Canis lupus familiaris: one gene and its partner. The protein of the gene in region 2 purifies or fractionates together with the protein of the main gene of each other region. This does not show direct contact. Links are inferred from orthologs where the notes say so. Each region holds a gene or a part of one and is shown on either strand. Other genes may lie near its edges.

Region 1 (12,041 bases), on a different chromosome or scaffold from region 2:
TCCACCAGTTGTGCTCCCTGGTATTTACTCAAATGAGTTGAAAACCTAAGTCCACACATACACCTACAAACAAATGTATCCACTTTATTCATAACAGCCCAAATTCAGAAGCAACCAAGATGCCCTTCAATAAATAAATGGATACATTCATATGGTACATCCAGACAAAGGAATATTTGTCAGTAATAAAAAGAAATGACCAGTCAAGCTACAAGAAGACATGAAGGAATCTTGAATGCATATTGCTAAATGAAAGAAGCCAATCTGAAAAGGCTAACCACCCTATGATTCCTAGCACAGTATATCACATTTTGGAAAAGGCAAAACTGGGGAAACAGTAAAAAGTGCAGTGGTTGCCAAGAGTAGGGACACAGAAATGAGTAAGTGGAACATAGGGGATTTTTTAGGGCAGTGGAACAATTCTGTATAATACTACAATGGCCGATACACATTATTAAGCATTTATCAAAACCCAGAGTGAACCCTAATGTAAGCTATGGACTTTAGGTAACAACATTGTATCACTATTGCAACCAATACACCACACTAATGCAAAGCATCAATAATAGGAAAAATAGAGAAGAATAGGTGTGTAGGGCTATACTCTATACTTTCCACTCAATTGTTCTGTAAACCTAAAACTGCACTAAAAATAGTCTATTAATATAGTCTATTAATTTAAGAACCTTAAACCTCTGTCAGTAAATTGAGAACTATAGATTAGATGTAATTGATTCAACCCTAGAACAGAATGGATTAAAGTAGAGGAACTTTTTCTTTTTTTAGTATATGTGCTGCCGAAGTGAGCACGAGGAACTTTTTTTAAAGTCAATGTTATATAGGGGACCCCTGGGTGGCTCCGTGGTTTGGCGCCCGCCTTTGGCCCGGGGCGTGATCCTGTCGACCCGGGATCCAGTCCCACATCGGGCTACCTGCATGGAGCCTGCTTCTCCCTCTGCCTGTGTCTCTGCCTCTCTCACTCTCTCATGAATAAATAAATAAAATCTTTAAAAAAATAAAAAAATAAAGTCAATGTTATATAAAAACTACAATATCTTATTTGGATATTATTTACTATTATTTATATTTGCATGAGTAATATTCCAAATGTCAGTATCACAAATTACCACCATTTACAAATGATTAGGAAATGTCTTTTTTTTCCTCTTTTATCTGTAAGGTGCTAATAATGCAAAGCAAAGAAACTGGGAAAACCTTCTTTGTTACCCAATTCCATACCCATTTGCCCTATATTAGGATTTTGTAAGTAATATCATTACTCCTAAACAAAGCTGGCTGACAATGAACATCCTTTGGGAGACCATTTGAATGAAGGGCTCATCTTACTAATGCAAAAAGCCTATGCCAAATCCTAAGAACTACAAAAGTGTGACATGATTTCAAGCATGCAACTCTTACATAAAATAATAAATTCAAAAAATAAAAAAAATAATAAAGCATGCAACTCTTGATGTTGATTTTTTTTTCTTTTTCTTTTATTTATTTATTTATTTATTTGCTCGTTTTATTGAGCAAAGAGGATAAGTCATTTATCTTAGCAGATCAGACCGGGGAATAGGTTTCTGGCCTTCCTGTTTGATGGTTTATTACCCAGCTAAAAAAGAATCACTTCCAGTTTTAAAATAAATAAGTCATGGAAAGTATTGTACAGCATATTGATGATAGTTAATAATAACATAGCATACGTTTAAAATTTGCTGAGAGTAGCTCTTAAAAGTTCTCACCACAAGAAAAAAAAAAATTCTAACTGTATGGGGTCACATGTTAACTAGATGTATGGTGGTGATCTCTTACAACATATACAAATACAGAATCACCAGAAACTAATATAAAGTTATATGTCAATTATACCTCAACTTAAATTTTTTAATTAAAAAAAGAAAGCGATGCTATAAAAGTACACATATTTTAATTTTTTTTTAAATCACTGATAATCACTCAGCACTTCCCAAAGAAAAACTCTATTGTTATAAAAGGCAAGAGATAGTCAAACACCCTCATTTTTTTGTTCTTTAATCCTATGATGGAGAGAAACACAAAACTCCAAAGTACAATACAAAACACGAGCTATTCTTTGCCACCCAGGTCTCAAGTTCTGAAAAACCACTAGAATAATATTTTCACTTAATCTAGCACCTGCTGCATGCTTCTCCTTTTTAGGGCTTAGATCCATGAAGAATTTGCATCTTCAGTACCACTATGATAACTGAAGGTAAAAAAGGTTCATGTTCAAGAGAAAGCCCTCAAGTCTATTGCCAGGTTCAAAACCTACACAACTTCTTAGCTTTGGACCTTAGAAAAGTTATCCAACTCCAAAACACAGAAAAATAAGAGTATTCATCTCACAGGACAGCAGTAAGGACTAATGAGACAATGTAGACACTTAGCATAGGGCCAGATACTTGGTAAGTGCTCAATAACCAAAAGCACATCATCTCCAAAAAGTCTCATGAATACTAAGGCTCAACTACAGAAATATAAATACACTGACCTCATTTTTTTTTGGGGGGGGGGGGGGGGGGTGTGTCACCCAACAGGATAAAACCCCAGAGTCAGGGCTTTATGGGATATCACACAACTTGCCCAACTTGACTGAAAGGTCAGAGAGGAAAGGGGCTAGATTCTTAGTTTTATCTTGGTCTCCTCTGTATCCATCCACAGTACCATGGACTAAAACTAATCTACTCCCCACTCATGGGTTTGAAACACAAAATACCCAGGTTTCTCCCAGCTCCAGGACATGGTTCCATCTTTGGGATCTCACCCCTACATAAACCCCCCTGAAGAGCAGCTTATAGATTCAAAGTTCCCCCACCTGAAATTCCAATGAAAAACTCTGTACCTAAAGTTGGTCACCACCACCCAGGAGGAAACTATTAAAATTGTACCTGTGATGTTTGGAATAGGCATATTTATTGCCTGAAAATACATCAGTGATTGACAAGGGCTGGGGACAGAGGTAGGGAGGAGCTGGGAGAAAATGGAGAATGATTGATGCCCAATGGGAATCAGATTTCTTTTGGGGTGATGGAAATGTTCTAAGATTGACTGTAGGGATGACTGTACAATTCTGCGAATGTACTAAAAACCTCTGAATTGGATTCTCTAAGTGGGTGAACTATATGGTAGGGTGAATTATACCTTTAAAGAGTTGATATTTTTAAATTTTGCATTTTTGCCCTACCTTAGACTATCAGAATAAGGGTATTCATTCTATCTGAGAAAGCAGAAGCCAAATTTACAGCAACAAGTCCAAAAGCCAACTCTCAAGATGGAAAGAAACAGTTCCTGAAAACCCATACCACCCCTCAAAACCAACGGCCTAATTCACTTTCATTTCTATGAACCCACATTTGGTTTGTCACTGGGTCCATGAGACCAGCCATAAAGTCCATTCCTGCAAGGCAGGAGAGTCAAGACGCACCCAGCCTAGCCACTGAGGGGGCATGTTAATCTAGCAAGAAGACTGAAAATTCAAGTTACCAAAACGTTATTTGGAATAGAAAGTATGTTGGGAAACTTACTCTTTTTTCTTTTTTTTTTTTTTTAACTTGTGGAACTTTTTTTGGCATAACATTATACAAATAGGATTACCAGGATTCTTCCCACCAGAGGTTAACACATACACAACTGTGTAAATTACGAAGAAGGCATAAGCCTAACTCCCTGCACCCAAACCAAAAACTGTACCTCTGCTCTTACTTTTGCTCTGAGTCTTGACAACCTTGAAAGCTGGCAGATGATTATAGCTACCAACAAGTGAGTAGTGCTATGCACCAGGCTCCAAGCTAAGTGTTTTCTTTACAAGGACTGATTCATTAAGTCCTCACAACACTAGAAAGTCAGGGTGGCTACTACCTGGAGGGACTCAGGCTCAGTGACTTGTCCTAAGTCTACCAGTAAGTGGTGGGTTTAAGATTCAAACCCAGGAAATGTTAAAACTTAATTCTACAAGTCTGAACTTCATCTCCAACTTCTATCATCTCTACAGAAAAACAGAAAGTCTTGAACACACAAAATCCTCCCGAATGAAACACTGAATCACCAGGGCAAGGAATGAGTTCTGGGCATATGACAGCCACAGAAAAGACCTGAACAAATCAGGAAAGAGAAAACTGACAGCGTTACCAACGTAGGTTGCAAATCTTTTATCATTTATCTTCTATGTATCCAGACCAGAGGCTTGGGCTTCCAAGGTAAAACTTCATAGGGGGTTATTTATCAGATTCTCAAGGGGACTCAAGAGACAACTGACCTAGACAATAGTTTTGCTTCAAGTTTAAGTGCATAGGCTTTGGAATCAGATAGCTCTGGTTCAAATATACTTAACCACTTTGTTACTTTAAGCAGGTTACTGACCTCTCTGATCGATCTTCAGTTTCTTCAAGCACAAAATGAAAGCAATAATAACAATGATCAAGGTGAACTTTGGTAATCCCAAAAGGCTAGTTTTACTGCCTCAGATTATCACACGGAGGAAATCTAAACCCAAAGGTCTATGAATACTAATTATAAAATAAAGCCATAAAATTTTATAGCTCAAAGAGACTGTAAATTATCTAAACCAGGGTATTTTACATAATTATGTATTTATTTCGTGTAATTAGTTTTAAAAACACTGGCTTTACATTTTCAGTAATGAAAAGGATGAACAGAAGAAAAATAATACACAAATACTAAGACAGTAATACACACTGTAGCAAGCACCTAATGATAATGGAATGCCTGAAATCTGGGAAAGAGTGATCAACTCCACTCTTTCCACTGAAGAGGTCACACATGATCTACTCAGGTAATAGTAGCTGTCAGAGTATTGTTAATACATACAACTAGATATAAACAGATTAGAACATTTAGTTCCTTACTAATCTTTCCCCCAAGTTACAGGGCTGCTCCATTCCATTAGACAACTTAAATAATTCTTAAGCCCTATCACTGCATTATTTCCCCCCACCCAAGGAATTCTTAGCCCTATCCAAAAAAAAAAAAAAAAAAAAAAAATAGTAGCAGGCAAATAAATTCCCAGTCACACAAATGTACCCTACTCATACTCAAGACAGATATACAAATGCAGTTCCAAATTCTAGCAGGCTTGGTCCAGGGGGTCCACTCTGGGTAAGCAGGATGAGAGAGGATTAAGAGCTCTGTGTTAGCAGGAACTCCGACTCTGGCTCAGACCATGCAGGGGTGCAAGATTAGGTCCCACTGCTGGAGCTGTGTGGCTCTGGACTAGTGACTTCATCAAGCCTGTGTGTAAAATGAATAACATGAGATAATTCACCGGCAAGGAGTCAGTCTCTGTTGCCAAAGGGGCAACACAATAATCACTGCTACATCATCAGGACCCAGGGCAGCAGTACCTACACACAGCAGGCACTCCATATGTTTGCTGAATAAAGCAGAAGGCCAATTAAAGCCAGAATGAGACTGAATCAAAACTCGTGGGCCCAGTCTATGAGTGGGCTCCTAACTTTCTCCAAACCAGGGGTGGAGTGTTTCCTGAATCAAAGATGGTCAGTGGGAAAGGAAGAGTTATTGGTAGGCCTCAGATCATCAGAGACCCTGCCTCTGAGGAACCTCATCACACCACAATTTTATGTTTATTTCACCCCAAAAGATTGGCAATTGCTGTCCCGGGGTTCCATTATCTCCCCCTACATTTTTAGAAGCAACAGGATCACAAAATGACATCTCAGGCAATTGACTTCCAGAAATCCCCTTTCAAGAGGCCTGGGAACAATTTTCAGAGATAGCACTCCACTCAGCCAATGCAACCTGGCCTAGCTGAAAGGTAGCACCTATGAAGAAATCCATCCCACAGACGGGAAAGTAAAGTCAAAGACAGTTCCACTATCTTCCTTCATGTTATTCCTGACTCAAAAAACTAAAAGATGGACGGAGCTATTTTTAAAGGGGGGAGATTGAAAAAGCACCAAGATCGACCTCACGATCCAAGGAGCTCATCCCTAGAACACTTTCGTTTGGCCGGGAGAAACTCTCTGGCTCTGCAAAGGTCAAGGGAAAAACCATACACAGAATGCAAATCTCATTTCTCCCCTACCAAGAGGAAATAAGTAAAAAATGGGTTTTACGAAGGGCTCCGGAATCCTTAAGGACGAGTTTTAACTTCAGCTCTCCGAGTGAGGCCGGAGGACATTCCCTCAAAACCTTTGAGTTTTCAAGGATAAAGGGAGAGGCTTAAAAAAAAAAAAAAAAGAGAGAGAGAGAGAGAGAGAGAGAGCGAGGGAGCGGGAGAGAGTCAGGATATGTTCGTTCTATTTTTAAACCCCCGCCCACAGTTTAGAGTAAAGGAACACTCTGATGCTGTCCTCCCACCCCTGTCACCTTCTGCTGAGCACAAGAATCAGAACCTGCACGCGTTCACCGCCCGGGGTCACTGGCCGCGATCGCTCCCCAGAAGCGCGAGCTCCCAGCCGCGGCGCCCGGCCCTTTCCTGGCAGCGCCCGCGCCTTTCGCAGAACCCGGCGGCCCCGGCAGCCCGGCGCGCACGGAGCGGGGCGGTCCCCAGCCGCCCTCCGCCGGGGCACGTTCCGCTTCCCCGGCCGAGCACCCCGGGGTGAGCAAGCGTTCCCCAAGGGAGCCGAGCCGGAGCGGCGGGCGCGAGGGGGCTTCCCAACGCGGTGCGCGGCGCGCCAGGCACGGGCGTCCCACTCCCGGGACACCTGTGCGCCGCGCACAGCCAGCCGCGGGGCCCCGGAGCGCCGCCCGCCCTCGGCCCCCGCCCGCCAGCCCCGAACGCCAACGGGGGGCTCCGGGGCGCCCGCCTCGGCGACCGCTGCTCGCTCGCCCCCGCCCGGCCCCGGCGCGCCCGCCGGCAGCGTGCACGGCCGTCGCCCGGGACCCCGGCCGCCCGACGGCCCTCCCGCCTCAGGGTCGCGTCCCCGCCGGGCTCGGGACACTCACTCTTGAGCGCGCCGATGAGGGACTTCCCGTCCTTGATGAGCTCCTTGATGAATTTGTTGGTCTTGTCCAGCTCCGCTTCGTGCGACTTGAGCGTCTCTCGGAAGTGCGGGCTGTCGAGGCAGCAGTCGCTGAATTCCAGCGCGGGGAGCCCCATCGCGCCCGCGTCGCCCAGCCGGGGGGCGCGCCTGCCCCAGCGCCCGGGAGGCCCGCAGCCCCGAGCACGCACGCGGCGGGACCGCGGCCGGGACCCCCGACGCCCGCCGGCTCCACAGGTGTGGCCCCGGCTCGCCCTCCGCGCGGTGTCCGCCGGCGCGCACGGCTGCCGACCCGCGCGGGGTCCCGGCCGAGGGGCGGCTGCTCCGGCGGCGCGCCACGGAGCGGCTGGCGGGCAGGAAGCGCGGCCACCGACCCGCGGCGGCGCCGGGAAGCGAGCGAGCAGGCGGGCGAGCGCGGCGGCCGCCTCCCCGCCTCCTTCGCCCGATCGCTCGCCAGCGGCCTCGAGCGCCCTCTCACAGCAGCCTCGGCCGCCCCGCCGGCGTCCGGGCCGCTCGAACCTGCTAGCGATGACCTAATCCCAGGCGGACCAATCAGCACGCCCGCCTCAGCCCGACCCCCCTGCCTCCCGGGGACAGCCGGCCCTTCCGCGGCCTTGACCCAATCAGCGGGGTGCGGAGGCGGGGCCTGGGCCGGGGGGCGGGCCCACGCCACCGCCCAGGTCCGCAACACAGGCTCCGCCCCCTCCCGCCCGCGCGGTGTTGCAGACCCCGTGCGGGAGGGGTGATCGCTGCGAGGCGCCGACGCTCCCCACTCCGGGTCTTGCGGACCTGCTGCGGCCGGGACCCGAACCCGAGGTGCTGCTTCCGCAGGTCTGGGAAGCGGAGGACCCTCAATGTGCCTAGCATGAAACGGGGCTGCAGTTCCCCCTGAACCCGCCCTGCAGGGCTGGGCAATCGAGCTTTCACTCGAGATGCAGCTCCCGAGCCCGGGAGAACCTCGAGCGCAGCGAACCACCATGTCCACCCTTTTCACCCGCTCCGTATTCCAGCCAAGCAGAAAATGTTTGTATTTTTAAATTACCAGTTCTTCTTGCCCGCAATCTTCCCGCCCCTCATGGCCACTCCTGCTCAAAACCCGCCCACGGATGCTCCCCGGCCAAAGGCTCTAACATCCTTACGAGAATTTCAGCTGCCTGTTGTTTTCCTGTTGGGCATCTAGCACAATTTTACATAATTACCTCCTGCCTGTCGTCCTTTGATACCCTGTGAGCTTCACGAGGGCACAGACCACTGCAGTTTTCTTGTGCGCTGCTGCATTCCTGCTACCTAGGCCAGTGGCTTGCATACGGTAACGGATACTGAGAGCTTACCGTGTGCTACATGTGCCATTCGTGCTCCGGTGACTGACAAATGTGGACTAAATTAAATCTTTCCCCACCTCCCACCCCCAGTGCGCTGCCCTGTCCTCCCTCTGTTCCACTACTGGAATTCATTCAGGCAGCTCACTTAACTGCACTGGTCAGGCTGGATCCCACAGTATCTAGTGCTAAATTGGGAACTCCTAGAGCATAGGGACTGTCCCTGAAATAAATTTTTGTGTGTCCAGGAGCTAGGAGCTTTCAGTTAAGGGTTTTTTGTTTGTTTTTGGTTTTGGTTTGTTCTTTTTTTTTTTTTTTTTAATAGATCTGCTATGTGCAGGCATTAAACTAGATGCTACCCATACTAAGATGAATAGCACAGAATGGACTTAATTGCTGCTAGTGGATGGGAGAGACAGGAGAAGAGCATTAGGGCTGCCTGGTGAGACAGGAGAAGGCCTGGGTGCTTAAAAACATGGGGAAAAGGTTGCCAACTCTGGGGCCAGAAGAGGCATCTACGTTGAGAAATCAATTGCCTGGTTTATTGAATACATAAATGAATGAGTGAGTATGATCTGTTTGCTGCTGTATCTACAAATTTAGACTTGAGAGCAGGCCCGAACAGCTGTGGGACAGATAATTAAAATCCTGAAAATAGTTGCTCCTCAGTTGCCAAGAATGAGAAAGATCTGCTTAATACCATATCTTGAGCACTTAAAAGGTAGGTTCTCTATTGATACATAACAAATCACACCAAAACTTAATATTCTAAAACAACAACAATCTTTTTATATTCTCTCCTGGTCTCTGTGGAAGAGCTTAACTCGGTAGTTCCAGCTTAGGAGTCTCTCCTGTGTTCCAGTCAGACAGTGACAGGTGCTGGAGCAGGGGTGGTTAGCTGAGCATCTCCCTCTTCTTGGGTGGGCCCAAGGCTTCTCTGCTGTGTGCCCTACTTTGGGCTTCCTCCTTGCATGGCAGCTTCAGGATTCTACTGTGAATGCCCCATCTCACAAGGCAAAAGCTGTACCACCTCTTATGGCCTAACCTTAGAAGTCACAAATTTCTAGCTAATTTCTTCATTAGCTACAAGCAAGTCACAATCCCACGCAGATGCAAAGAGAAGGGAATTAGACTGTACCTCTAGGTGGGGAAGTGACAAGAACGGGAGATACTGTTGCAGCCATGTCTGGAAAAAACTAAAAAAACAGTGGGCCTGGCACATGATACTCAATCAGTGTTAAATGAATGAAACAAACTGGGGGTGTGGGGGCACAATGATTCATATTCTTCCATTGCAGGAATATTGGGGCAATTGTGTATAAAGTAAAATAAATGTATTAATAATAACATTGGCTATCATCTGTGCCAGACATAAAGTAGAGCTAAATTATTTACATGCATTTAATCCCTGCCAGGTAATATTGGTACCATGATAATACCCACTTTTCAAATGAGAAATTGAGGCCCATAATTGGAACTTAAGCCAGGTTACTTAGCTAAGAAGTGTGTGCGATACATACATATATGCCCATTTACAAATATGTGTGGATAACATTTCATTTCTTATTAATTTAACCCAGAATTTCCATAAACACTTCCCACACTTCAGGCAATACTATCAGAAAAAGAGAATCCGAATGCAGTAGTATCAAGGACAGAAACTGGCACATGGAAGGTGCAGTTATCTCTCACATCCTCGAAAATAAACTCCATGAGGTAGAGGTTTTGTGTTGTCTGCTGCTACAGCCCCAGCTCTTAGAACAGCAACAGGTACTTAAGAGGTGCACAATGCCAACAGGAGGGACTCAAGTTTAATAAGGAAGAAACAGCAACTCATGTGACAACATAGCTATGAATGCAGATAAAACAAAAATCACTTTCAAACAAAATAGAGAAATAATTTAGGCCAAATAATTTGACCCAATATCCTTGGAATATGTCTCAATTCCTTCAAATTAGTCAAACACTAAATCTAAATAGTTCTACTTTCAGTAATACTATATACATTGTAAATCCGTATTATCTCTGACTTCAGTTGTCCAGTTAATTTTACATCTGCCACACAATGACCTTCCATTTGTAGAAAACTGGAAAGCATTCTCATTTCTCATAATGCTATCTCTGACCCACATACGCAGAGGTGAGCATGGTTCCTGAACACAAACTGAAGAACAGGGCTGGTCCATGATGAAGGTTCTTAGGCCCTCATGTAACTAAGGACCAGAAATAGATGTAGCCTCAGGAGACTTGGATGATGATGTGAGCACCAGATTTCTCTCTCCGCCCCACAAGCTGACCTTCCTCTATGGTGCTCTCTGCTCCTCCAAACTTATATCCAGCAATATTAGCAGTAACAGAGGTGTTTTCTCCCCAAGAATTACAGCAGAAATTACAAGACTGAAGCCAGAGGTTAAATAGCCCTGCTCCTAAAACATCAAGCACTGGGGAGGAGTTGTTTCCCCCAAAGGACAAACTCCTGTTGACAGGAAAAGAGGGAATTAATGCTAAATTAAATAGGCAGAAGCAATAATAAACAGTATGTCTGACCAGTTAGTTCCCCAACGCCCTCAAAATGAATGCTCCTTCTGCTATATTTCCATGGTTTTGTAATTCTAGTTAGCACATACTCTTTCTTTTTTATAGTCAATACCATATGATGCTTTACACAGTGACTTCACCTTTGTATTATTACTGGATAAGGCATCCGTTTTCCATTTTTAAAATGACAATTTGGGGATGATGTTGTAAATATATTCTATATCACAATCGTGGTGATGGTTACACAGGTTTCAAAATTAGTCAAAATTTATGGGTGCATCTTATTGTGTCTAAGTTACAGCTCAATAAAGTTGCTTTTAAGAAGTAATAATGATGGTAGTGATAGTAATGATATTTATTGAGCTTTATCTCTGTAGTAGGATCTGTGCTAAGTTCTTTATTACATTTCCAGCCTTTACTAAAATTTGGGAAATAGGTACTGTTACCATCCCTATTTTGCGGATAAAGTAACTAAGGATTAGAGAAGTAAGGTGCCTAAGGTTAGCAGTAGAATTGAGCTAAGAATTCAAATCTATTTGTCTTAAATAACTATCTGCCTATACGATATCTATAAGAAAGAGATTTTATATATCTAAAAAATTAATAATAATAGCCAAGCCTAAAATTGGAATAAGATCACCCATGAATGGGGATGCCGGGGTGGCTCAGTGGTTGAGCATCTGCCTTCAGCTTGGTCGTGATCCCAGAGTCCTGGGATCAAGTCCCACATTGGTGTTTCTGTGAGGAGCCTGCTTATCCTTCTGCCTATGTCTCTGCCTCTCTCTCTGTGTCTCTCATGAATAAATAAATTTTATTAAAAAAAAAAAAGATAACCCATGAATGAAAGAGGAGGTATCTCACCCTGAAATGTATGTTTTTTTTCCAGGACCATTTGCTGGTATGCCCCCAATGTATCAGTAACTATACAAGCCTCTAATAAGTTTTGGCTTTAAATCCAATGCCCTAAAGTAATAATAATAATAATAAATAATAAATAATAAATAAATAAATAAATAAATCCAACGCCCTACCATTAGTGTAAAAGCAACTGACTGAAAGACATGAAATCCTCATTTTCCTTGAAAGAAGAAAGAGTAATCTATCCCTCCAAATCCAATGGTTTGTGGTCCTGTGGGGGAGGTGGCAGCACTTAATTAACATTCCTTGGCTCAAGAAATTAATGAAATTCATATTACTTGTAGTA
Region 2 (11,741 bases):
CTGTGAGGGCAGAGGGGCTCAGAGCAGAGCAGGGCTTCCTTCTGTCCCACCAGCCCTGCCACCCTTATCCGGGCAGCCCCCGGGCCTCAGCACCCCCTCACCGGTATCTCCTCGGAGGTTGGCTCCCGGGGCAGGTAGAGGCGTGGGGGCTTGGGCGGGGGCCTCATCTCTTCTCCCAAGGGGCTCTTCTTGGGTGGGACATTACTATGTGGAGAAAGTAGACACATGGCAGGGCACAGGCAGATGGAATAGCCATAGGGACAAACACACGGCGATGCCAGAGACAGACAGATGGAGGATCAGAGGGTGAATGACGGGAACAGAACAACACCAATTGCACCTGGAGAGAGGCAGATGTGGCAGAGAAGAGGGCGGCTGAGGCGGGGTGGCTCCTCACCTGGGCGAGGCAGGCTCGGCAGCTCCCCGGGGTGTGGCTGGAGTCTGGGGACATGCTTTGGGGGGGCTGATTGTGCTTGGGGAGCTGCAGGGGGGCAGCAGGCTCATGACCAAGCGTCCCCAGGCCGCCATGCTGAGATTCATCTGGGAAGCTCTCAGAAAGTCCTGACCTGGGACAAAAGGAGGACTCAGTCCTGGGGCCCCCAATAGCCCCTGCCCTGCCCCCTAACTGCAAAGCTGTCTCCTGGCCACACCTCTGCGTTTAGAGAAAATGCGTTTCTGCCTCTGTAGCCGGGGCCTCCTCTCAATGACAGGGTCACAGAAGGTCACCTGCAGGGGGCAGAGGGCAGGGCTGGAGACAGGTCCCTTCCCATCCCACCTGCCATCAGGGTACCTCCCTGGTTCCCAGGATCTCGGCCTGAGCCCCCAGCATCAATGATGCAAGAGCCAGAGGGGTCCAGAGAAGAGAGGCACTTGTCCAGGGTCACAAATGAGGCCAGATAGTCTGGACCAAGATGTGGGCCTCTAGATTCCCATGCAGTCCCCAGACAAGGGCTGGGAACCCATAGTCCTGGAGCCCTGCTCCCTCGGGGCCCCAGTTTCCACTCCTACGTGTGGATGGATGAGTCACATTGTTTTGAAGGCCCTTCTAACTCCGACGGAGCTGGGGCCTGTCAGGTCAGAGGGCAGGGTCTGGGGCACCTGGGCAAAGAGCAGCCCCTGTGGCACCAGACTGATGGAGAGCTGGTGACAGGCATTGTCCAGGAAGTCCTCCAGCCGCAGGAAGGCCACGCCACACAGCTGCCGCCAGTCCCGCCAGCGCACCCCGATCTCCAGCTCCCGGGCCTACGTTGGGAGGGCCAGGTTGAGGAGTGGGGCATGGCACATGCCCCTACCTGGCCGGCCTTCCGCCCCCTGGCCTAAGGTCATGCCTGCCCACCCCAGGGCTCACCCGCTCCAGGGGGACAATAAACATCTGGTCCCAGGACTGCTTGGCCACCGGCGCCCAGCCAGTCTGGCCCACGCCACGATTGTCCACTTTCAGCACAGCCATCACCTCACCTGCCAGGCCAGATAGGGGGCTCAGAGCCAGCAAGGAGCGGAGGTCCTTTGCTGCCCCCAGCTCCCTGCGGCCCCTACTCACTGGCCAGATCTCCTCCTCCACGCTGAGGCTTGGCCCTGCCCCGGAGCCAGCCCTGGGAGGGGCTCCCGGCCAGTGCAGCTGCCGGGGACCGTCCGGGGACAGCCTTCAGCAGCTGCTCACAGCCCAGGAGGCGGACCTCCAGTGTCCCTGCGGGGAGCACGCAAGAAACACTGTCAGTGCCATTCTCTCACTGCCACAGCCAGGTCCCCTGGGACCGCAGGAAACCTACTTTCTCTCAATGATGTCTGAACCCAGACCTTGCCCACATTAGTTGGGGTATTTAGCCAGGTGACAGGATATAAGGTGGCCCCAAGTAGCCAGACAACTTCTAGGCCTTTTTAGCAAGCCATACCCCCGCCCCGCCTTCCCTAACTTGTCTACTTGGCCAACTCCCAGAAGCCCTTCAAGGCTACATGTAGACACCACCTCCTCCAGGAAGCATTCCTTGATTCCTTCTCAGCTCTGCTCACAATGGGAGCTGGCCCGTCCAACCCTGAACCAGCTCTGAGCAGGAAGGTGCCGGGCTCTCTGGCTGGCACTGTGTCCCGTGTAGGAAGTTCAGGGTTTCCAAAGTCAGCATGCTTAAATTATTTGTTGATTACAATTCAGCTACAATTCAGACAAATTCAGCTCAGGGATAAGAAAGAACTTCCTAGTAGTCCAGACTGCCCAGGACTGGTTACCAAAGGCCTCCAGGGCTGTGAGCTCCCCTAACACCGGCACTCTTCACATTGTCATCATGGTTTCTCATTTTGATAACAGCTTCACCGACCACGTTTGGACGATGCCGGCACTGTGCCTAGCACATCACAGGTGACAACTCACTGAATTTCACAGCAACCCTACAAAGTAGGTGCTGTTATCATCCCCATTTGACAGAACATTAAGCTGAGTCCAGAGAGTGGAAGTCTGTTGCCCGTGTTCACAGAGCTAGAGGGTGGTGGGACCAGAATCAAAACTCTCCAAAGTCCTCCCCCTCTGTGTTTCAGGGTACCCTTTGCAAGAAAAGGGGAGCCCTGAGGTGAGAGGGACTCCTGGCTACCTGTCATGGCGGTGGGCTTCACAAGCACCCCTGAAGGCTGAGGGTTCCCAGACACGGCCGTCCGCAGCTCCCGGGCCACCCGGCCACGCAGAGGATGAGCAGGAGGTAGTCCCTCCAGCAGCTGCTCCAAGGCCAGTCGCAGCAGGTCCAGTTTCTGGGAGGACTCCTGGAGCTGGGCCTGGGCCTGCAGGGCAGATAAGGGGAGGGGGCACAGGCCCGTGACACACAGGTTGGGGCTGGGGACAGCAGCTCGGACCACCTGGAGACACACACACGCCCTGGCCGCCACGAGGTCTAGACACAGTGGGCTCCCTGTTCCCACCCGGCACAGCCATCCCGCAGTGCGGAGGGCGCAGAGAGGGGCAGTGGTGAGAGGGCGTCACGGTCTGACCTCGGCCAGGGCCTTCCGGTCTTGAGTCCGCTGGCCACCCAGTAGCTTCACCACGTTCTTGGCACCCTCGGCCACAGCAGCCTCAATATGCAGCCGATGTCTTAGCTCCTCTGCCAGCAGCTCGGGACCTGGGAGGAGGCAGTCAGCTCTGAGGCCCATGCCCTGCTCTGCCCGGCCCGGCCCGGCCGGCCGGCCCCTCCCAGCTTCTCAAAGCCTCACCTGGTTCAGGGGACCCACTGGCTTCCAGGCTGCTGATCTTCATTCGCAGTAGAGCCACCTTCAGCTGGCTGTCCCGCAGCATCTGCTGGGCAGCTGCCAGGAGCTTCCTCTCCTGTGGGGTCATGAGGTATGCCCTCGTCGCACCCAGGCCAGCCCAGGGCCTCCCTGGTCAGACCAAGGCTGAAGCCAAGCCTCCCTCATCAGCCTAGGTCTGGGGCAGAGCCTCCTCCATCAGATGAGACAGGGCTGGGGTCAAACTTCTCCAATCATGTCAGAGCCAAGCTCCCCACATCATGCTGGGAGTTGGGGCTGGGAGTGGACCTTCCCTATTAGACCCAGAACAGGGCCTGGGGTTTCCCCATTAGACTGAGTTGTGCCTTCTCTGTTAAATTAGGGGTCCAAGCCATGCCTTCCCCACCAAGCTAAGATTTGGGGCTATGGCTCCTCTATCAGACTAATAGTTGAGACAATGTCTCCCTTAATAGGTCGTTGGCTAGGTTGCATTCCCTACAGGGGCTGGGGCAGCACCTCCCCTACTAATCCGAGAGCCACATCTCTCCCCACAGACCCCGGGAGCCTTACCTTGGGCGTGCCGTTGGCATATGTATGCGTCATATTCTCTGCCCCCTGCTTCACCTTCAGTTCCACCTGCAGCTGTCTCTGGAGAGCCTCCAGGTGCCGAGCCCTGGGCTGCTCTGCAGGTGGCTGGGGTCCCGGGGCCACAGGTTCTGTGCAGTGTGGGGTACATGAAGCCCTTACCCAGAGCCAGGAGCCCCCTACTCTATGGCCTTGCTGTCTCCTCCCCTCCCCTCCTGGGCAGGGGGACACCTGAGAAGGCTATGAGATTGGTCAGGACCAAGGTTGAGAAGCTGGCTGGGTAGACCTCCCCAGCACCTCCTGTCCCCGAGGGCCCGAGGGTCCGCTCAGACTCCACACTCACCAGCCTGGCCAGGCCCAGGGCCGGGCAGCAGGATGCGTGCATGCAGCGCCCTCAGCTCTCCGTGAAGCTGCTCCAGGCGGCGATTGGAGGAGCGCAGGAGCTGCTGCACATGGCCCAGGTGGCGGCGGTCTGTGGCTACCCTCCGCAGGTTCTCTACACCCTCCTTGATTTTCAGCTCCTTCTGGATGGCACGGCGGATCGCCTCTTTCTCATCCTCCGGGGGCCGCTGGTTGGCCCCAGGCTGTGGAAGGGCAGAGCAATAATGGTCCCGTCCCCAGCCACCAGCGGCCTCAGGTGCCCACAGATGGAAGGAGAGGGAGGCACGCCCAGCAGCCAGGGTGGACACCCGGGGCTTGGGAGGCATCTCTGACTTTCCAGCTAGTATCCCCAGGCCAGATGCAAACCCCAAGACTAGGCATCCTGCCCACGCTCCTGTCCTCTGCCACTAGGGAGGAGGGAGAGGGAGAAATTGTCAACATTTACAGGCAACTCTTGAACAACATGGGTTTGAACTGCACAGGTCCACCTTATAAGCAAATTGTTTTTGATCATACAGTACAGGGCTGTAAATGTATTTTCTCTTCCTTATGATGTTCTTAATAACATTTCCCTTTTTTCTAGCTTCTTTTATTGTAAGAACACAGTATAGAATACACATAACGTACAGAGTATGTGTTAGTCCACTGTTGATGTTATCGGTAAGGCTTTTGGTCACCGGTAGGCTACTGGTAGTTAAGGTCTGGGGGAGTCAAAAGTCATACGCAGATTTGCAACTCATGGCAGGTGGGGTGTGTCAGTGCCCCAGACCCCTGGGTTGTTCAGGGTCTGTCTCAGAACTTTGCAGACACTGGTCTGTGGATCCTCACGACAATCCCATGAGGTTGGTATAGTTATGATCCCCATTTTACAAATGGGGAAGCTGAGACACAGAGAGGTTAAGCAACGTGCCCAAAGTCACAACACCGAAGAGGGGATGCCACCTTCCTTCCCCCTTGCCAGTCACGCTTAATCAGGATGCTCTCTCCAAGACTGCGATTCTGAGATTTGGGGCCAAATTTGAGGCCAGAAAAGAGGCTAGGGAACCCCCCAAGGTCACACAGAGAGGGCAGCCAGAGGCCTGAGTAGGGGCCAGGGATGTTCCCTCAGGTAGCCAAGCAGAGACACGGAGAGGGGCTGAGGAGGTCTCCCGGGGCCATTCCCAGCTCAGCTACTGGGAGGAAGCAGAGGCTTTCTCACTATTTCACCCCAGGTGGGAGCAAGAAACAGAAAAATCTCTTTCTCAGAAGCTAACATTTCAAACCAACCAGTGCCAAAGCTGACCTCTGTCCAGAGTAACCCACAATGCCCCCGACCCCAAGGGCTCCTGCGGGACTTCCACCTTACCTCTCGGCTCTCCATCTCCTGAGCCCAGTGTTAAAGGTTGTCACCCCAGTCTCAGGGCCCCCCCCTACTCCAGGCCTCTGCTGGCCTGGTAGTCAGAGGGCAGGGGCGGGGCTCAGGAAATCCTTTGAGGGCCCTAGGCCAGAGGGCCAGAGCCAAAGGCCTGAGCAAACAAAGATCCCATGGAGCAGGGGGCCTGGCCACCGGGGTCCTGAGTCACCCAGCTGCGCTGCTGGGCGGAGGTTCACAGGAAATCGGAAAATGTGCACAAGCTGCTGCTGGAACAGGCGGAGGGACCTCCGGAAGAAGGGAGTGGGAGGGGGCAGATGCAGTGCTTAGGGCTGTCTAGGCCCTTGGGGTGGGGGCACTCGAGCCTTGTGGAGGACACTCCACCCTTGAGCATACCCCCACCTCCTGTCTGCTCTGGGCGGACATACACACCTCTCCCTTGCTGCTCTACAGCTGGGACCCCACCCCATTCGCTCTGAGTAGACCTCCACCCCTCCCTCCCCAATAACAAACACACGGCTTTGGCTGCTGTGTCCACCAGCACCTACTGCCAGCACTGGCAGGATCCCAGCCTCCCTGCCATTTGGACTAGAACCCTGTGTACCCGAAGGTTCCCACCCAGGTGCTGGGCAAGGCCCTCCGGCCCGGCCAAACCCCACATGCCTTCGTGATCCGGGTAGGACCACCCCCCCAAGAGCCCAGGGACTGGTGCCCTCCTGGGCTCTCTTCTCCCTGCACACTCGGATTCCTCTCCACGCAGGACCGGCCCCAGTGCGCCCCAGCGCCCCCCTTTGCTTTCTAGGTCGATTCCCATCGGCCTTCCAGTCCTACCGGGAAGAGCTGATTTTAGGCAACTTTGGCGCCCATGCTGGTGGCCCTGACTGCTGGCCTGACCAGAGGCTCTGAGTCCCTAGGGGGTGATCTGGGGGCGTTTTCAGGGGACATGAACGACTCACCCCCGTGCTCAGGTCTGCCCTGCGAGGTGCAGCGAAGCCCGGGGCCGGGACTGAGAAGGGACCCGGGAGGGGATGCGGGTCGGACCTGGGGGTCGCGGCCGGGGCTCGGGGTGCCCGCGGCGTGCACGAGGCTCCCCGGCGCCCTGGGCCCGCGCCCGCAGCCCGGCCTCCGCGGGCGCCGTCCACCTGCCGCGGCGCCCCCTCCTCCATGGCGCCGCTCCGGCCGCTCGGCCCCTCCTCTCGCCCACTGCGGTTCCGGAAGCCCCGGCCCCTCCGCCAGGACTTTCAAACTTGAAACTTCCCGGGAAGCGGAGCCCGAGCCGCGGGATCGGGCGCCCCCTCCCGAGGCCGGCTGGCGCTCGCGGGCCCCGAGATGAGCGCCGCCTGTCGGCCGCCAGGGTCTGCGCCCGGGACCCCAGGGCTCCAGCCGACGCCCCGCTGGCTCCGGGGCCCCGCGTCCGTCCTGAGGCCGCAGTCCCCGGCCCGGGATAGAAGTGCGGGGAGGGACACCTCCCGGGCCGGGGTTCGCCAGCTGCCCAGAGGGGTCGGGGGCGACAGCGCCGCCTGCCGGCCGCCGGACACTGCCCGTGGGGCCGGCTCAGCCCCTTCCTCCGAGCCGTGCCACCACCTGGTTCCCGCCCGCAGCCTTCTCCTCGTCTTAGATCCTTGGTGACAAGTGGGTTAATCCCAAACCCGTCACCCTCACGGAGTCTTGTCCCTGTCTAGAGTCACTACTATAAGAACGTCTGCAACTGAAAGAAAGTAAAGCCTCCCCCAAACCCTCCCAAATTACAAACCATGGATGAATAAACCAAACATCTCAGGCTCCGCCACTCAACCACAGTGGAGCTTTCTGGGTCGGCCAGGGCTTCCCTTGTCCTCAAGAATCCACCCAAACAGAAGACACACACCGTAGGAAAGAACCACTATTTCAGGAAAGCCGACCAGTGGGCACCAACTGACCTGGCAGCGGCTTGCCTGTATAGGAATTCTGGTATCCTGTGCTAACTGGCACCCTGTGCCAGGACTTCACTGGAAGGAGCCTGGCCCAAGGGTCTGGAGGTGAGTGGGGATCAAACATGGAAGGTGGCCGATTTGATGACTCGGAACAGGTGCCTTCCTGTACTTTTACTGAAGGAAATCATGTCAGTTGCACTTTGCTCTGACCACCCTCCCTCCCCAGAGTGGAAAAGGTGATACTGACAAGCCATGACAGTCCTGGGTTGTCCCGCAATGGGAAATCAAGCAGATGACACCAACGTATGCAAGAGCAACTGGGTTCAGTGGGGGGCATGCCTAAATTTCATAATCAGAGGCATGTCCAGGTTGCCAAGGGCTTAGATAACAGCACATAGTAGGCTCTTTTAAATGGGGGTTGAGGGGAATCCCTGGGTGGCTCAGCGGTTTGGCACCTGCCAAACCCAGGGCGTGATCCAGGGCGTGATCCTGGAGTCTCGGGATTGAGTCTCACGTCGGGCTCCCTGCATGGAGCCTGCTTCTCCCTCGGCCTGTATCTCTGCCTCTCTCTGTGTGTCTCTCATGAATAAATCAAATCTTTAAAAAATAATAATAAAAATAAATGAGGGTTGTCATCAAGTTGTGTTGAGTTGAATGTTTAAGCATAATTTAGAGCAAAAAAAGACAATGTTTCTGACTGCTAGTCATAGGACTGAAGGAAAGGACAAAACAAGCTAGTAAAGCTCTTTTCAGCATAATGTCTCTCTCCCATCCTGAGGATCATTTATCTACTACAGCCAAGAAAGCTGAATTATGTGAAAGAAGTCAAAATGATTTTCCAAGTTTGCTGTGTGTTCTACTGCTTCGCTGGTCAACAAAGGAAAGGAAGTCAGAAGTAGCAGAATCCATGAACCCCAGGCTGGGCAAACCCACAAGGAAACCAAATCCTAGGCTGATGGAGAAGCCTGACCAAATAGCTTCATCCTTTCTGATGGTACTTCATGAAACTGCTAATTCTTAAGAAAATTGAAGTTCCCTTCACATTCAGCATCCAGTGGGTAGTGAATGGTGCAAACAACTCTCCAGCTAACTGGCGGCTAAAACTGTATAAATATCAACTCAAAGAAATATAAAACTTCCTAGCAGGGCACATTAAAAAAAAAAAAAAACAACACAAAACACTTTTTTTTCCTTTCTATACTTCCCTTCCTGGTATGGCAAACATCCGTCTATGTTTAGATTTGCTGCCCTTGGGTAGTAGGGAGTATGCAATATCACCAAGTAATCAAGCTGGCACACTCCCCATTCACTATTCTTGTTCTAACCACAAAACTGCAGTCTTTTCCCTCGGACCTATTAAAAAGTAAACTTCTAAAGTCTTCATGAACACAGCCACGTGTTCAAATGGGAATGCTGGGATTGTGTGTGTGGGGGGGGGTACTTTTTCCTAATGTAAGATGTCCTCTTTATTTTTTTTTTTTTAAGATTTTATGTATTTATTCATGAGAGACACACAGAGAGAGAAGCAGAGACAGGGGCAGAGGGAGAAGCGGGCTCCATGCAGGGAGCCTGACGTGGGACTCGTTGCCGGGACTCCGGGGTCACGCCCTGGGCTGAAGGCGGCAATAAACTGCTGAGCCATCCAGGGATCCCCAAGGTGTCCTCTTTAAACAATTGGAATGGCTCGTCATTCATCTCCTAAAGAACTTGTCTTGCTCTTCAGAAATCCTGAGTCTTCACCTTCTATAACAATTCTGCCTTTTCATAGCAACCTAACCAAAAAGGTCAAAAGCCAAACCTGTTTTCAGGACCAAGTGAAACCCTGAGACTAGTTGTCGAAAAGCAGTAATGGTAAAAACTACCAAATTAATTCAGAAATACAACTGAGTAGGAATCCTCTGAAGCCCAGAAGGCCCCCCCAAATCCATCACGTCAAAAACCCATACCTGTTGGCAGCCAGACAGCTAACACAGGTGAGAAAACAGGCCAGATATAAAGCCCATGTCAGTCAGAGACAGGCAAGATTCTGGGGACATTTAAAACTCTACATTGTACAGCCAGAGCTGGGAGAAACTGCAGGGCCTGTCACAGAGGTCAGGGAACAGTTAAGTCTTAGAAATCAGAACATGTTGGAGAAACAACCTCAACTGCAGGGATGGGTCTAAAAGAACATTCCTTTAGGTTTGAAATTAACTCTAAGGATAGATTACCAAATAGATACATTATCTATACATTGTCCCCTGTGCCCCTATTCATGTAGTTACTCCCTCATAAGCAGTTTGGCAGTTTTGGAAGATGCCCTCCTCCCAGAGAAACTACAGCAGCCGTTATTTGCCCTTTTCTTTTGAAATGTCCTTGTACCAAAGGAGCTTTAAGCCATTCATTTGGCACTTTCCAAAACACACTGCCCAAAGGCCAGCCTGAGAACTCTTGCAACTGGGTACAAAGCACACTTGCTACTCTGTAGCAAGTTCCAGGACACTGACATTGCCACCTTCCTGTCTCACAGCCCAGCACTCCTTTGCACGATTTGCAGGCACAGGGCAATCTAAAAGGTGATCTCAATAGTTAAGAGAAAATGATCTTTAAGAGCTATTTGAGTCATTTTCTCAAAAGTAAATGTACATCTTAAGAATGGATTAAAGAGGACCTAGGGACGCCTGGGTGGCTCAGCGATTGAATGCCTGCCTTCAGCCCAGGGCATGATCCTGGAGACCTGGGATCGAGTCCCACATCGGGCTTCATGCATGGAGCCTGCTTCTCTCCCTCTGTGTCTCTGCCTCTCTGTGTCTCTCATGAATAAAATTTATAAAAAAACAAACAGGACCTATAACTGATGGTCCTCCGATCTCACTCACCAGCCCATAAATCAGATTTAGTAAGTAGTAACTTTGAGAAACAAAAATTACAGGCCTACTTAATGAGTAATAATTCAAGCAACCTGGCGGACCCCTGGGTGGCGCAGCAGTTTAGCGCCTGCCTTTGGCCCAGGGCGCAATCCTGGAGACCCGGGATCAAATCCCACGTCGGGCTCCCGGTGCATGGAGCCTGCTTCTCCCTCTGCCTGTGTCTCTGCCTCTCTCTCTCTCTGTGTGTGACTATCATAAATAAAGTAAAAAAAAAAAAAAAAAGGTAAAGATAAACTTAAAAAAAAAATTCAAGCAACCAGAGGATTTTTGCTAGCCAAGAGTCCTTTAAATGTTGAGACTTCAATAGGAAAATATTCGATCCCTTCAGGAACCAACTACATTCCAAAGAAGTTTCTTTTCTGTGATCTTTATACCTACCCTTTCATAGACTTCTCCCTGCTACACTGAATGATTTGAAGAGCAGTTTCCCCCATTCCCCAGTCACTACTAATGCAAATCAGACAGAAAAACTACCTTATCTATATCCAAAGGCAAGTAACATGTCTCTAGGAAACAAGGAGAATGACCCCAGTCAAAAAAAATCTTTATGTTCCTTTATTGGAGCAAGATTCCTGACCGGTATACAGTGATGTATTACTAAACAAGACCTGTGCAGAAATTACATACTATCCATCTAGACAGGTTTTCATTACACTTTGCCTATCGATGGAATAGTTCCGTTTATAAAGTTTTATACATCAAAAAGCTTTGAATTTGACCAGGCTGTCCATTAATTCATCTCTGAAAAAGTTAAGTGGCATTTAATTTTAGCTACTATAATTTACAGCATTAAAAAGCTTATGCATTAGGTAGCTTCCCAAAATGGTATCCTATGCACAACGGCATTAAGTAGAGCAGGGCCCGTCATCTCACCCGGATTCACACAGACAGGCGTCGCGTGAGAGCTATATGCTAAATAGCTAGTACTTCGAGACAAAAGTACTCCTGAGTTTCTTACCACCAATACGGACTTCTTACTCTGAGAGTCTGTCTTCTCAGCCACATTTCATAGTGCCAACGAAGACACGCCAGTAACTGCCCTGTGTGTAACTTGGCATTAGAGCACCAGGTCTGTCTGATGGTGGTGGCAGGCACTATTATTATATCCAGGCAATAAAGGCCCGTTTTTAAAAATGCCAATTTGAGACACAACTCAAGGGCACAACATAATCAGAACTCAGTTTTGAGCAATCTGGTATCACAACTGATGTGGGAGAGTTCAGAAATTGATGGCAAACTACACCTACGATGGCTCCTGGCTTTGAAGGCATTAATACATTGATTCAGATCCCTTTCTCAGTCCACACAGCCCTGAGGTCACCCTGCAAAGTGCGTATCAAATAATACGGAGTCAGGGTGACAGAGTTTGACAATACGTTATACAAGTTAAACTTGGAA

What was found.
Region 1: the proteins of PKN3 (region 2) and ARHGAP26 purify together in Homo sapiens (affinity purification with mass spectrometry; 3 studies listed by BioGRID and IntAct, with this or other methods). This does not show direct contact. The link is inferred for Canis lupus familiaris from reciprocal best matches to the Homo sapiens genes PKN3 and ARHGAP26.

The regions. Positions count from the first base shown.
Region 1 is NC_049223.1:36,771,886-36,783,926, reverse strand, and holds the start of ARHGAP26 (rho GTPase-activating protein 26), read right to left. Parts: upstream 7,159-12,041; 5' UTR 7,100-7,158; coding exon 6,946-7,099; intron 1-6,945. UniProt on the Homo sapiens protein: GTPase-activating protein for RHOA and CDC42. Facilitates mitochondrial quality control by promoting Parkin-mediated recruitment of autophagosomes to damaged mitochondria.
Region 2 is NC_049230.1:54,972,494-54,984,234, forward strand, and holds the start of PKN3 (serine/threonine-protein kinase N3), read right to left. Parts: upstream 5,874-11,741; 5' UTR 5,531-5,873; coding exon 5,516-5,530; intron 4,374-5,515; coding exon 4,133-4,373; intron 3,921-4,132; coding exon 3,775-3,920; intron 3,305-3,774; coding exon 3,193-3,304; intron 3,102-3,192; coding exon 2,974-3,101; intron 2,767-2,973; coding exon 2,583-2,766; intron 1,688-2,582; coding exon 1,541-1,687; intron 1,459-1,540; coding exon 1,349-1,458; intron 1,243-1,348; coding exon 1,099-1,242; intron 727-1,098; coding exon 651-726; intron 567-650; coding exon 398-566; intron 205-397; coding exon 102-204; intron 1-101.